2 linked regions of the Oryzias latipes genome follow. The protein of the gene in region 1 interacts with the protein of each later gene in a pairwise test. Links are inferred from orthologs where the notes say so. Each region holds a gene or a part of one and is shown on either strand. Other genes may lie near its edges.

The links. The genes of interacting proteins can lie anywhere in the genome.
Region 2: the proteins of heat shock protein beta-1 (region 1) and bag3 interact in binary tests that used the Homo sapiens proteins (3 or more experiments, as listed by UniProt). The link is inferred for Oryzias latipes from reciprocal best matches to the Homo sapiens genes HSPB1 and BAG3.

Annotation. Positions count from the first base shown.
Region 1 is NC_019870.2:13,680,384-13,686,639, reverse strand, and holds heat shock protein beta-1, read left to right. Parts: upstream 1-2,678; 5' UTR 2,679-2,871; coding exon 2,872-3,244; intron 3,245-3,313; coding exon 3,314-3,377; intron 3,378-3,469; coding exon 3,470-3,629; 3' UTR 3,630-3,953; downstream 3,954-6,256. Other genes in the region: sushi domain-containing protein 2, read left to right, coding at 109-205, 299-344. UniProt on the Homo sapiens protein: Small heat shock protein which functions as a molecular chaperone probably maintaining denatured proteins in a folding-competent state. Plays a role in stress resistance and actin organization.
Region 2 is NC_019873.2:29,857,248-29,864,151, forward strand, and holds the start of bag3 (BAG family molecular chaperone regulator 3), read left to right. Parts: upstream 1-3,090; 5' UTR 3,091-3,167; coding exon 3,168-3,338; intron 3,339-4,597; coding exon 4,598-4,930; intron 4,931-5,194; coding exon 5,195-5,512; intron 5,513-5,592; coding exon 5,593-6,171; 3' UTR 6,172-6,904. Other genes in the region: tial1 (nucleolysin TIAR), read right to left, coding at 835-931, 1,249-1,277. UniProt on the Homo sapiens protein: Co-chaperone and adapter protein that connects different classes of molecular chaperones including heat shock proteins 70 (HSP70s), e.g. HSPA1A/HSP70 or HSPA8/HSC70, and small heat shock proteins (sHSPs), e.g. HSPB8.

The sequences.
Region 1 (6,256 bases):
AATTTGTGTTAAATATTTCACACCAAGAGCAAACATAATCAGACTTTTTGTGGAAACGTCCATGTTTTGAACTAAAACACACACAATGTTCTTATTGGAATATTTCAGGTAAACTCCCTGGAATTCTGGCTGGTTCAATTGTTGGCGCCTCAGCACTGATTCTGATCATGACAATGATTGTGCTCCACTTCAGAAAGCAAAAAAGGTAAAGTAGAGACGTTTTTTTTAAACTTCAAAATGTTTCCAGCTTGCACCAATATCTCACTTATTTGTTGTTGTCATGTTATTTATTTTTCAGGAAACCATCCAATTCAGAGGAAGGGAGTATCACTGAAGGCTTGTAGCCGAACCCAGTTTATAACTTTTGTTATTTATCGTTAAACTGTAAATGTCTGATAAGTGGGAAATTTCAATTTAAGCAATTTCTTTTTTAAGATACAAGTACTTTTTATGTGAACATAGATAGTTTAAATACGTTTAGATGATAGAAAGATGATGTTCATGTTGTGTCCATAGTGGTTGTTTTTGCATGATTATCTTTTGCTGAGTTAAAAAAAAGTTTTACACCAGATATGGACTTTTTACGAGTGTGTATGGCAAACAACAGTGAAGCTACAACTCCGTATAGCTGCAAATGTATTTCTGCATTTGTCACAGCCCATATGCTTTGAACTTTTGTCATTTTTTTACACTCCAAACATGTGCTTTAAAATTTTTTTGAATAAAAATGTCCTTGTGCATTATGAGCAGAGATCTTACATGTGACTGCTTAGTGTTTCCCTTTTTCTAAAGTTTCTTCTTTATTGACATGAAATGTTATCAACAGCTGATAACTGACTGATGCGAGGAGTGGCGAGTGACCCTTCAGCAGGGGGTCAATCATAAAGATGTCGGTGCTGTTCAGAGAAAATATTAACTGTATCGGCAAGAATATTTGATAAGGAAAACTACTTTTTGCAGCAAAAACCATGTTTCAATTTGAAAGAAGATCATTACTTGTAGTGAAGTCAGACATTTTGAGTTCATTTTTTGAAGCATCTGAACTCAGAAGAATTGCTCCAAAGCCTCAAGAAAGTTATCATAATTGGTGGTGGAAGGCCTAAATGCAGAAGATTGACATGAGGAGGAAACGAAAAACATGAATTTGTGAATTTTGGCATGAATACAACAGCCTGCCATTAAAGCAACAACCATAAAATAAAATCATATATAGTCCAGACAAAAACTAAATGGTGCTTAAATACAGGACCTGACAAAACCAAATATAAAACCAGACCATTAATTAACCGCAAAACAAACAGCTGTGGCTGTTAATAACTTAAACTTTCTGGTGACTTTGAATTTTGGGAAAACACAAAACACAGGATAGAATAAAATAAGTTAGTTTCTGATGGTTTGAAGTTCAAATTCAAATGAAAATTTCCTTTATAAAATCATAACATTGTATTGATGCACTAACCTTTAAAATTCCAGCTTTTTTTTTGGCCTTTTTTTGATTAGTAGAAAGTGTATTCTTTTTAATTTTTAAGTGATAAAAAACGGATTCCATCTAATGTTTGACATCAAAATAGGTATTTGCACATTGCCAATCCATCACATCATTAGCATCTGGCTGCTATATGTATATCTACCAGTTTTTTTACACTCTGCAATTTAAGACACTTATGCAAAGCTTGTAAAATAAACTTTAGTGAAGTTTGCCCTTACTTTGACCCTAACCTTAACCATAAGTATTGCACACAAATGCACAAATACATATTAGCTGGATGATAACACTATTTTACAGAGGCCAATGCACTTGTGAGCTACAGTAAAATGTTACAGTATATTCACTTTATTTGGTTTCTTATCACACACATTAACTCTGGGTTATTTCCAAGAATTTTTGGATTTACAACTGAAGAGCGTTTTCCTTTCGATGACCCTAAAACACCTTTAAACTGATCTATGCTCATATTTTCATTGATTGCACACTTTAGACTTTTTTATATTCATTAGTAAACTAGCAATAGCACAGCTAAACTTCAGGCAATATTTTCTTTTAACATGTGCTTAATAACATTCTTAAGCAGACTGACATCAAGTCTGTTGTAACCTGGTGTGTCAAACATTAAAACCTGATAAACAATGAAATGTTTATGAGCAGAGTTCAGAAATATTCACGTTGCCTCCCTGATAAATGCCATTCCTCAGATAATTTATCTCACTCAAGCTCGGTTTATTTTTTGAACCCATGAAGATGTTTCTGTGAAATTCCACACCAGCTCCAGAACTCCATAGTCTTTCTCTCCATCTGTTTTTACCAGCTGTAAACACGTCTTTATCTTCTTCACCCTGAGATCCTGTTTGCTCTGCAGTTTTGCTCTTAAGTTAAGTTGGGAGGCTAAAAGCAACGCTTGTGTTTACCGTTTGACTTTTTGTGTGCTGCTTCACATGCAGCTGTGGTTTCGGTGGACAAAGAGCTCCAGTATGTGACGGGACTGCAGAGGCCATGGCTGAATGACACGACTTCTCCCTGCTTCCAGAATCATTCCCCAACAACTTACCGGAGACACTCAAAAGATATAAATACACATAATTGGCATTGTCCTCTCCGAGTCCCAGGGCAACAGGAGAGTTGACGCCCCGGCCCATCACATTTCATCCCTTACATCACACTTGTTAAAGCACAAGTGTGAAGAGGAGGCCGTTGGTTATATAAAGCGTGTGAGTGGATTGCTGCGGACTCCAAAATAGGCTTTTCCCCAAACCTCCTGCTTACTTACAGTTTTTGAGTTTCGTTTTGGTTGGTCTGATCTCGTCTTGCATTTTTCTGTCAGGTGGGAGCAAGAGCTTTTATTTTCAGTCTCCTTTTCTTGAGTTTTGAACCACATGGGTGATCAAAATAAAACACTATCCCGGCCCATATTCCGTCGAGATGTCCGCTGGGATCCTTTCCCAAACTGGACTCAGCCAAGCCGTATTTTTGCCCAGGACTTCGGCATTCCTCCTTTCCTGGAGCCCAATGATCTGGACTGGCTTGACTGGGCAAAAAAGAGACTGGCTTCTTTCTCCTGGCCGGGTTACACGCAAAGCCCCCTCCTGCCTCCCATCACGCCGGACCAGAAGAGTCTGAGACAACTGACTAGCGGTGTGTCTGAGGTGAGAACGGGGCAAAACAGCTGGAAGATCAACCTGGACGTCAATCATTTTTCACCCGAAGAGATCTCCATCAGCACAAAGGATGGCTACTTGCAAATATCAGGTACGTAGGCTTAATTTTTTTTCATTTTATACATAAAGATGTTTATTAATAATTACTGTTTTTTTTAAGGAACTCATGAAGAAAAGCAAGATGAACACAGTTTGGTTTCAAGATGTTTCACTCGTAAATACAAGTAAGGAGGCTGAGAAGCAAATTCGAGACACATTTAGGATGCGACCGTAACATATTTCTGTTTGTGACAAACGTTCTCTCATTTTTTTCGAGGTTACCACAAGGGGTGAATCTGCAGCACATCAGCTCATCCCTGTCCTCAGAAGGAATGTTGTCCGTAGAAGCTCCCGTCCCAGGAACATCCATCAGCAGCCCGGACAATGAGATCGTCATCCCCGTTCAGACCAAAAAGACACAGGACAGTGAGAAATGAACATAGTGAGCAGAAAGTAGCTCAAACTGTGCATAGCAGCAATTATTAAAATTACACAAAGCAGACTAGATTGCTTAAATTTAATGTTATCATTTGCTTTTTGGGAGATTTGAGACTTTTATAATCTAATTTAAACTTAATAAAAAGCAGAAATGGTATTGGATCCAATAAAACAAACCCTTGCTGTCCTTTTTAATTTTGTAATTTTGCACTAAAATTTTGTTTACTATAAACTGGTCTTTATCTTACTGTTCTTGTAGAATGATTGTATTATGCAATTTCAGCCTTCACAATGAAACAGAAATAAAATTTGGTAAAAATACATTTCTTTCACAGATTGTGGTTTTGTCACAATATTCATTCTTGCAGCTCAAACTTTTTTTTAACATGAAAACTTACACCTAAAAACAGGTCAGAGGTCACCAATTTTTTACAACCCATAATAACTAACAGTATATTGTAAGGATCAATATTTTAGGCAAGGACACGGAAAAAAGAATAGACAAAAAAAGTCTTTTTGTAGCTGTGCAGCAAAAATTTACTGTTACTAAATTTAAAACGGTGTGAAGTATGATATTGTTTGTACGAGGTTTCTGAAAATATTATATCATTACCTTGTAAAACAGTTTTAACTGCAAATTTAATAAAGATTTAAAGACTTAACTTAATTTTTTTACCTCTTAAAAACTCTACCTTAATTTGGGGGAAATGGAGACAGCACTCCAAAGTTATATAAAACAAAAATAAAACAAATCTAATATTAATAAAAAGACAAACTTAAAATTAAATTAGTTTTGCTCTTTCCCCCCCCTTTAAAGTTCTCTTTAAGTACAAAAGGTCAAAGTTCACTATTTATGCTGATCTTGATTTTAGCAAATTATCTATACAACACCATAAGGTCATTATCAGTTCCTAATAAATAATAAAAAAATAATAAAAAATATTCTACATTAACTATTTATTATTTTTTTACTATGAAAAGAAAAAGATCAGTGCAAGTGACGCAACAAACTAATCTAACCCTTGTGCTATCCTAGGCACTTTAACATTGGGAGATGGGTCATCTAGACCCACCAGACAGTGCGCTGAACCTTTTTTCTTCAATGATTTGTGATGGATTACATGAAATCTTTCCACCTTTACCCACTTTTGTTATGGTAGGAAGAACACGTCAATGTAAGGGTGGGGTCATCTAAGATAGCACAAGGGCTAATCAAGGAATAGCCAATCAAAAGCACAACGGTGACATCTACTGTTAAAAAAGGAGCATTACATGAAATTGAAAAACGTCAGGAGAATCATTTCATGTTTTGCACAGCTTGGAAGATCCTCCAGAAATGGATGCTTTGTTATAAGTATCTTGCATTTCTGCTTAACTTAATGTTGGCTTATCTCCTAAATGATCACAGCTCAATACATTGGGATAAGTCCAGTAGACAGCTTTAAACAAAGCATAGTCAGAAATAGTTGATTAAGCTTTTGGAGGTGTTTGTCATGCTGGCTCCAGCTGCTTTTTAAAGTAAATACAATTCGAAAATGCCAGTTTATTAGGTCTCAAGTACTAATTTCCTATTTTTCTAGAGTGGTTCATTTATAGATTTTTTACATAATGTAGTTCACTAATGAAGTTTCCCCTAAAGGTTTCAGACCAATCACGGCCCCATCTTACAGAGGAGCAAAACATCAAATAAAGGAGCATGAATTCCTCTGGTGCAAAATAAGGGCCTCTGGTTCAAATGCACATTTTCATTTTATTTATCTTATAGAAGCCAAAAAAGACAGGGGTAACTTGCACGAGGAAGTGGAGATCTGTTTTTTATCGGATGAATGAGAGTTTTATTAGTGCAGTGTGTTGCAGAAGAAAAAGACAACAAAACAAACACATTGACAAGTTTAATTAGAGCTCTAAAATTAAAAGTACTGTTGAAAATGGGGAATTTAATATAATAAGTGTAAGCGTTCCAACTATAGGAAACTGTGGAATTGGTTTCAGACAGGAGGAAGGAAAGAAGGAAGGAAGGAAGGAAAGAAGGTAGGAGGGAAGGAAGGAAGGGATGGAGTGAGTTGGATTACCTCAGCCTGGTTGAGGTTTGCCTGTAGTGTAGTGGTGTCTCTTTAAAGGAAGGGGGAGTGTAGAAGAGGGACAGAGGAAAGAGATGAATAGAAGGCACGAGAACCACCTACCATGACCAAGTGCGTTGTAAATGTAGGACAGAAATTGGAGTGGACCACAAACGGATCGTTGAGCGACATCTTCGAGGGAAAACCATGTTTGGATGCGCCTCAACGGAATCGGCTGTTTTTCAATGTGCCAGCAGCGCACGCGAGCGTCGGAGCACAGGGAAACGGGTTTTCCTCTCAAACATTCCCTGCTTTCTAAAACGGAAAAGAAGAGTGGCAGCACAGCACATCCCCGTGGCATCTTCTTCTGATCACCAATGTTAGGGATTGCATAATTCACCCTTTGGTTCCTCTGCTTTTCAGACGCCAGAAAGGGGAGAAAAAAACGACTACATCTAGTGGCTGCATTTGTTTGGCAATGCCCTTTTCTCTCCCAGGAAGGACTTGCGCTCAGTAGCTGGTGAAGGATGCGTTTAAGGCTGGATGCGTGCTGCATTCAGGGATAT
Region 2 (6,904 bases), on another chromosome or scaffold:
ACTCCAAGAGAAAATCCTCAGGATTGATTTTCGTGCTGCAAAAATCTGCTTTTTCCACCTTTGACATCTATTCCTCTTCTTTTTATACATTATTTACATTTTTTCATATGTAGAAAAACAAATTAAATCAGATAGTGGAGAAGAAACTATTCATTGGTTATTCCAACCAGATCCATCTGTCAGGCGATTTATAAATCATATCGACCTAAACTATTATAAAATCATTTCAAAATGAAATAAATTGATTACATTGAAATTGGAAGATACCATCTGGATTGAGGTACAATAGATTTATGTGTCTCTAAGGTAAAACCGACCAATCACAGCAGACGACACACATGTGACATCAGTCCATCATTCCAGTCCAATGTGTGGACAGACTTTGAATAAAGTCATGTGACCATCCAGTGTCTAGAATGTTCTAAGAATGTTCCCTTTGGATTCTTTGGATGTGGAAAAACAACAGTGGTGAACTTTAGGAAACTAACATGTGAATGGATTTGACATTCATTCTAGTTTACTTGTTGGTTTGGACACAGATTTCATTTAACTTGATGATCTGGAAGAAATCCAAGAATCTGGAAAACAGTTCAGTAGCAGGAATTTCTGTCTGAGTCTCACTGCTGGAAGTTTGGATCAAGAGGATCTGGATCCACTTTAGGACAGAGGATCGGATCATCAACCACAAATTATATGAATGGAATCATTAAAACGAATCGATCCAGCCCTATGTCAGATACTAATACCAAAAGAAATCTGAACATCAACCAGTAATGCTCCATTACCTGCTAACCATGAGATGGTTGTGTGTTTACATGAGTTGGTGAACGGTACCTCTGTGATCATTTTGCAGCTTTTGCAGGGTCCGATCTGGGTGAAGAGCTGCAGGATCAAAATCTCGGTAACATCTCTGGAAAGGTTTCCGACGTACCTAAAGCACAGAGACGGGATTTACATCATTACCATCCAGTTAAAAGTAACATCTTTCTATGTTATTCTGCATTTGTTTAGAGTAAGGTTATGTAGATCCCGTTACACATACTTTCCATGAACTAGTAGAAAATATAAATATATATATATATATCCTCGTAAACTAAGTCTAGTCTTATTTCGTTCCAAGCTTTGCGGTTACATTACCGCCACATATAGGAAAGCTAGAACACACCGGGTTAACATTGACAAGCTAAGCTAGCCGATATTTCCAGATGTTAGCAAACACTATGACACAACCGGGGGAGGGGGGCTTACAGAGTTCTGGGGTGGCTTTCGTCGTCCATGATCGATGCTGAAAGTCACGTGGTCCTAAAACGTTAGCTGCTTAATACCTAGCTGTCATTTAGCGACACTAGTGTCAAATACAAAGCAGCTAGTTACCCAGCTCCTCAGATGCTAACTGACGGGAACAGAGCGTACGTCAGACCATGAGTGTTTCTCTTGCGCATGCGTAACAGCCTGTCCTACGGAAAAGGTGAAGTAGCCTAAATTTAAACCTTTATAACCTTTATAAGAAAATGCAACGTTTGAAAAACGAAGGTTAGATTTTCTGTATCAATCATCTATTTCAGGGTGACGCTATTAAACGGCAATAGAGAAAAGTCTTTTTTTCCCCTGACGTTACGTCATTTCCTTAGATTTTAAGCGGAAGTAAGGGTTCGCTTGTTTTAAGGACCCTCCTGAGACGATGCCCGTTTGTGTCAGCTATAACTGGAACAGAGGGGATTTCTGGAAGCTCGGGTCAGGTGTCAGCGCGTGTGAACTTGTTTTTAAACACCTTTCATGTTTTAATGTTCAGCTATCGAGTTATTTTTATTCTTCTGTTTAAACTCTGCTGTAATGTCCGGACTTGATGCTGTGTGCTTTATAAAGTTAGGCTTTGTGTAGCCTGTAGAGTTCTTTTTACAGATTTTTGACTAATCAGAATAATTTTATTGTCATTGTATATGGTGATACAATGTAATTGCAGCAGCCTTGGAGTGATGAAGATAAATAAAATATGTATTTAGTGTAAAATTTAAATGTAAAGAAAAAAAATTAATTCACACGACACTAATGTGATTATCCTTATAACAACAGTATAGTAAAGGGAGAATGGATTATTTTACAATAACTCTAACCCATAAACAGTTTATCCCAGTATATATGGTGAGTCATAAACAGTCTCTGACATGACCTTATAGAGTCACAGAAAGCTTAGCCTTATCTTTATAAAGGACATTATTATTATTATTATTAAGAGTTTAACTATTAATCTAGTTAATTAATAGTTAATTAATATTAATTAATTTCTATTTGTACAATCGAGTGGACCTATACCATTATAAACTCGTGTCAAAATCAATTAAATCAATATTAGAAAATTCCATCTGGATTGAGGTAAAATTAATGGTCACACTCCTAATTATTTATTAATTTTTTCAACATGAATAATTTACTCTCCTGTTTTGCAGCATTTGACATAATTTAAACTATTTATAAATAACAATGGTTTCAAATATCAGTTTGATAATCAAACAGCTGTTTGCTGCACATATTTAGAATGACTACTTTGTATGTTTTTAAATCTTTTAAAGTTGTTTTAAAGTTTAGATCCTTCATATATGTTTAACATAATCATTAGATAGTATCCACTAGAATTTAGATTCCAAAAAGCGGCTTTAATATGAAATATTGATGAAAGCAAATGTTTGTCTGGACTGGAAAACAGAGTAATGTTATAAGCAGCTGTCTCTTTGTGGGGGGGTTGTGTTTGAACCTTTTGATTTTTCATTTTGTTTGTAGATTTTTACTCATTTTTAATGATAAAATAGAATTGGACTAGTTTATTTAGTGACCAAATCTCATTGAACATGTGTTCCTCGCCGGAGGCACGCATGTGTTTTTGAACATGTTTAGCCCCCCCCCCCCGTCTGGGCTCTGATGGAGTCGTCTCCGCTGCTCTCCGGTCCGTCGTCACGTTTCAGGTGGAGCTGCTCTCGGTAAACCCTCGTGGGGGTCTCCGGCTTGGATCTGCAGCTCCGCCCCCCCCCCCCCCCCCGCCCCCCTTGCCGCCCCCACAGTTAACCCTGCTATTTCCAGAAGCTTCCAGCCCACTTCCCCACGTCACTCCACGGAGTCTTTAAAGCGCCCGCCGCCCGTATAAAATGTCTTAGTACCGGAGCGCGAGCAGCATGAGCGCCGTGCAGACACGCGCCCCCGCGCCGACCATGGCTAACAACGACAGCGACCCCCTGCCCCTCGGCTGGGAGGTCAAAATCGACCCCCAGACCGGATGGCCGTTTTTCGTGGATCACAACAACCGAACCACAACCTGGAATGACCCGAGACACGTCGCGACAAAGGTGAAGGAGCGCGCGGGCAAAGTTGCTTCCCCGGCGGGAAGCGCTCGCGGGGAATCTGCGTTGGTTGTTTCTGCGGAACATTGTATTGTCGGTGGTAACGGCTGATCGGTCCCGCCATGTCCTCGTGTCATCATAACTATTATTACGCGATGAGTCACCCTGCAGTATGTGGCGGCCGGGACGGGGGGGCCGTTTTCACATTAAGGTCATTTTCCCAGCAGGGACCGCGGCTGGGCTGCTGTGTGTGGCGGGGGCTGCTGGGCGGGCGGTCCCGGGCAGAGGGCAAAGGGTCGTTCCGGAGGAGACACCGACGGGGTACCGATTGTTGACCGTTTTCCTCCAGGTTTTGGTCTCCTTTGGTTGGGGAGGGGGGGGGGGCATCAGACCTGTTGCTCTCTGCTCCTTCACTTCTTCCTGACATCTCGTGCTTTTATTTTTAAATTCTCTTCCTGTCTGATCGGTTTTCATGGAGGAAAATAGTTCACAGCGGTGACCTGTTCCATAAAGAACATTCAAAAAGACAAACAGTTGGTCTCCTTCAGATTAAAAGTGCTGTCCTGTGTGATGTTGGCGTGTTGGGGGTCAGAGGGGGGGGGCGCTGGGCACAGGGACACATCTTCAGGAGGCAAACTAGCAGCTGCCGGGCTGGAATGCAGAGGTTGTTCTGGCAGGGCAGCGTCACTTTTGGCTGCTGGGTGAGGAAATGTGACCCGGGACGGAGAAGGCGGAACGTGGATCTGGAGAAAGCGGAACGTGGATCTGGAGAAGGCGGAACGTGGATCTGGAGAAAGCGGAACGTGGATCTGGAGAAAGCGGAACGTGGATCTGGAGAAGGCAGAACGTGGATCTGTGGAGGATTTCCACCTGCGGCCGGACGGTCGCGAACACAGACGTCTGCACAGACGCTCACCTGACGTCAACGGCCCAAAGCACCGTTATATTTGGAAAACACACCTGGAAAACATGGAGGCAGCATGAGACGGGGGCTTTGTGAGCAGCTGTGGTGCAGAGGTAGAGCGGTTGACTCTGGATTAGGAGGTCTCGGGTTTGATTCTGGCCTTGCTCTGCCCCCATCAGAGTGTGTAAAGCACTTTAGGCTTTAGAAAAGCACTATAGAAGCACAAATACACAATTATACAAAATATCACTGATGAATCAGTGGTGGAAGTCTTAAAGTTTTTACCTGAGATTTGTGTGTGTTTTTTTAATGAATTTAAAGGTTTTTTGGTTCTAAATTCTTTCCCCTGCCTATATTTCAGAGTAGAGAAGCAAACGGACCCAACATACCTCCAGAACAACATCCTAAGGAGACCCAGAAGACCTTTACCCGAGAGATGAAGCACCCGATTCTGCGGCCCGGCTACATCCCCATCCCCGTCTTCCATGAGGGCGCAGAGCTGCGGCAGCAGCCGCCGCATCCCTGCTGTACGTACATCCAGCCAAGCACAGCGCAGAGTGTCCGGTACGAAGGTCAGGCTCCTTCGCACGCCTCCGGACTTCACGGCAGGCCCAGATCGCCGTTACACGTGGCCTCAGACAGCTGCTCCTCTGAGCCCGGGAGGGCCAGCACGCCCACGCCGCCAACCACAGAGGTACGGGTAACATTTGGGTTCTTCACTGACAGCCACCCTTGATTACAGTGGGAGTTTTCAAAATAACGCATTTCATACACGGAGGAGATTGATTGACAAGGTCAACAGCCAATCAGGATGCAGAACATAGCGAGCTGTGAAGTAAAATGGAAATTGGCTATAAAAAGGTGGCCGGCGATCTAGTGAGGGACCAGCATGAGCTGAAGCGGGTAACATTTGTGCGACCAAACGTGTTCACTGCGTTCTGACTGTGTTGCTGCTCAGGTGCACACCGCCACACACCACCAACCGTGTCGACCCGGCAGCACCGGCCTCCAGGCCGGTTACATTCCTATTCCAGTCATCCATGAGGGCGGAGGGGGTCCGCCTCAGGTAAACCCCGCCGTCTACTCTCAGCGCGCCCCCTACCAGCGCCTCCAGACAGACGAACGGCCCGCCTACTCTGCGGCGCCGTCTTCTCGGGAAAGTGCTTCCCCGACGTCGCTGTTCCCGCAGCACCGGGACGCAGCGTCTGCCCGCCTCCCACCTTCGCTTAGGAGCCAGTCCCCGACGGTATCGCAGCTGCAGGCGGACAGACCGCAGGTGGGCTTTCCGGTCTTTTCCTTTTGCCAGCGTGTCCCAGATTCTGACATAAAACTGTAACTTTGTTATTTGGATCTCAGCAGAACCTCCTCACTAGAGACCCGGCCCAGAAAGTGGAGCAGGAGCTGCAGAAAGCAGAGAACCTGCCGGTTCCTCAACCGCAGCTCACAGAGGTGGACGCTCCACATCTGGAGCAGCCTCAGTCCCAGGAGCCGCAGCATCACGTTGCAGACATCACGGTTCAAATCCCTCCAAAAGCAGAGGTTCAGGACCCAGCCGGCCCTGAAGCCCCCCCAACCAGAGCAGAGGGGGAGCAGGGCGCCGTTCACCCGGGCTTGGCGAAGGTTCAGCAGATCGTGGGACGGGTGGCTTCGCTGGAGCAGGAGGCCAAGGCTTTCAGCGGGAAGAAAAATGATAAGAAATACCTGCTGCTGGAGGAGCTGCTGACCAAAGAGCTGCTGGCTCTGGACTCTGTCGACCCGGAGGGACGCGCAGATGTGCGGCAGGCCCGGCGCGATGGAGTCCGGCGGGTTCAGACCATACTGGAGGAGCTGGAACAGCTGGAGGAGCGGCCAGCCAAGCCCACCAGTGAGACGCCGGCGGACGGTGACAGAGGAGAGTCCAAGGAACATTATGTGACGGCCAAGGAGATTTTCTGAGGAGCTCCCGTTCAGGAGCAGAGGATGCCGGCGGACTCCTCCGCCTGAAGCGTTTGTGGAAGCTGCATGCGTTCAGTGGTCGTTTGTTCCTTCAGCACTTAACTGATGGTAGCTCAGCGCCGTTCGTTTTTGAGCCATCGTTCTCGCCGTCAGTGTCCTTGTAAATTTGACTGCGACCATCAGTGAGGCGTTGACGGCAACCGCTAAGCAAATTTGAGTTTGAAATGAGGCCTTTATTACAGCATCAAAGAGAAATCCCAGTATTTTCCTAACAGAGTCTATGTGTCGTTGCCTTTAGTCTGACAGGAAACGGTGTGACGCGTCTTCTGGTGGAGTAAGCACACGGGTCGGTGTTTGAGGGCTCATGATGGAGCCGCTCTGTCACAGAACACAGTCACATCTTTACTACATGCTGCTTCTTGTGTGCACTGCCTTTGGAGTTGTGTTTGCACTTTGTTGTCACTGAAACGTGTTGAGAATCAGCAACGCGTCTTTGAAGGATGATCATTTGAGTGAGTTTGGATCAGTCGGTTGACTTCAGTCCCACATGAATCTTTCTATCAGTATATACAGTATTTTGCTACACTTCTGAATGTTTATTGACCCACGGGGTGAAATGTGTCGTCTGTTTGAGACGGGAGACAATCAGCGTCGGCTGCTAACCAAACCGGCGTGTTACGGCGTCAGAATGTCTGTAGATCACCAAAGGTCTGTCGGAGTGAAACCGTGACGG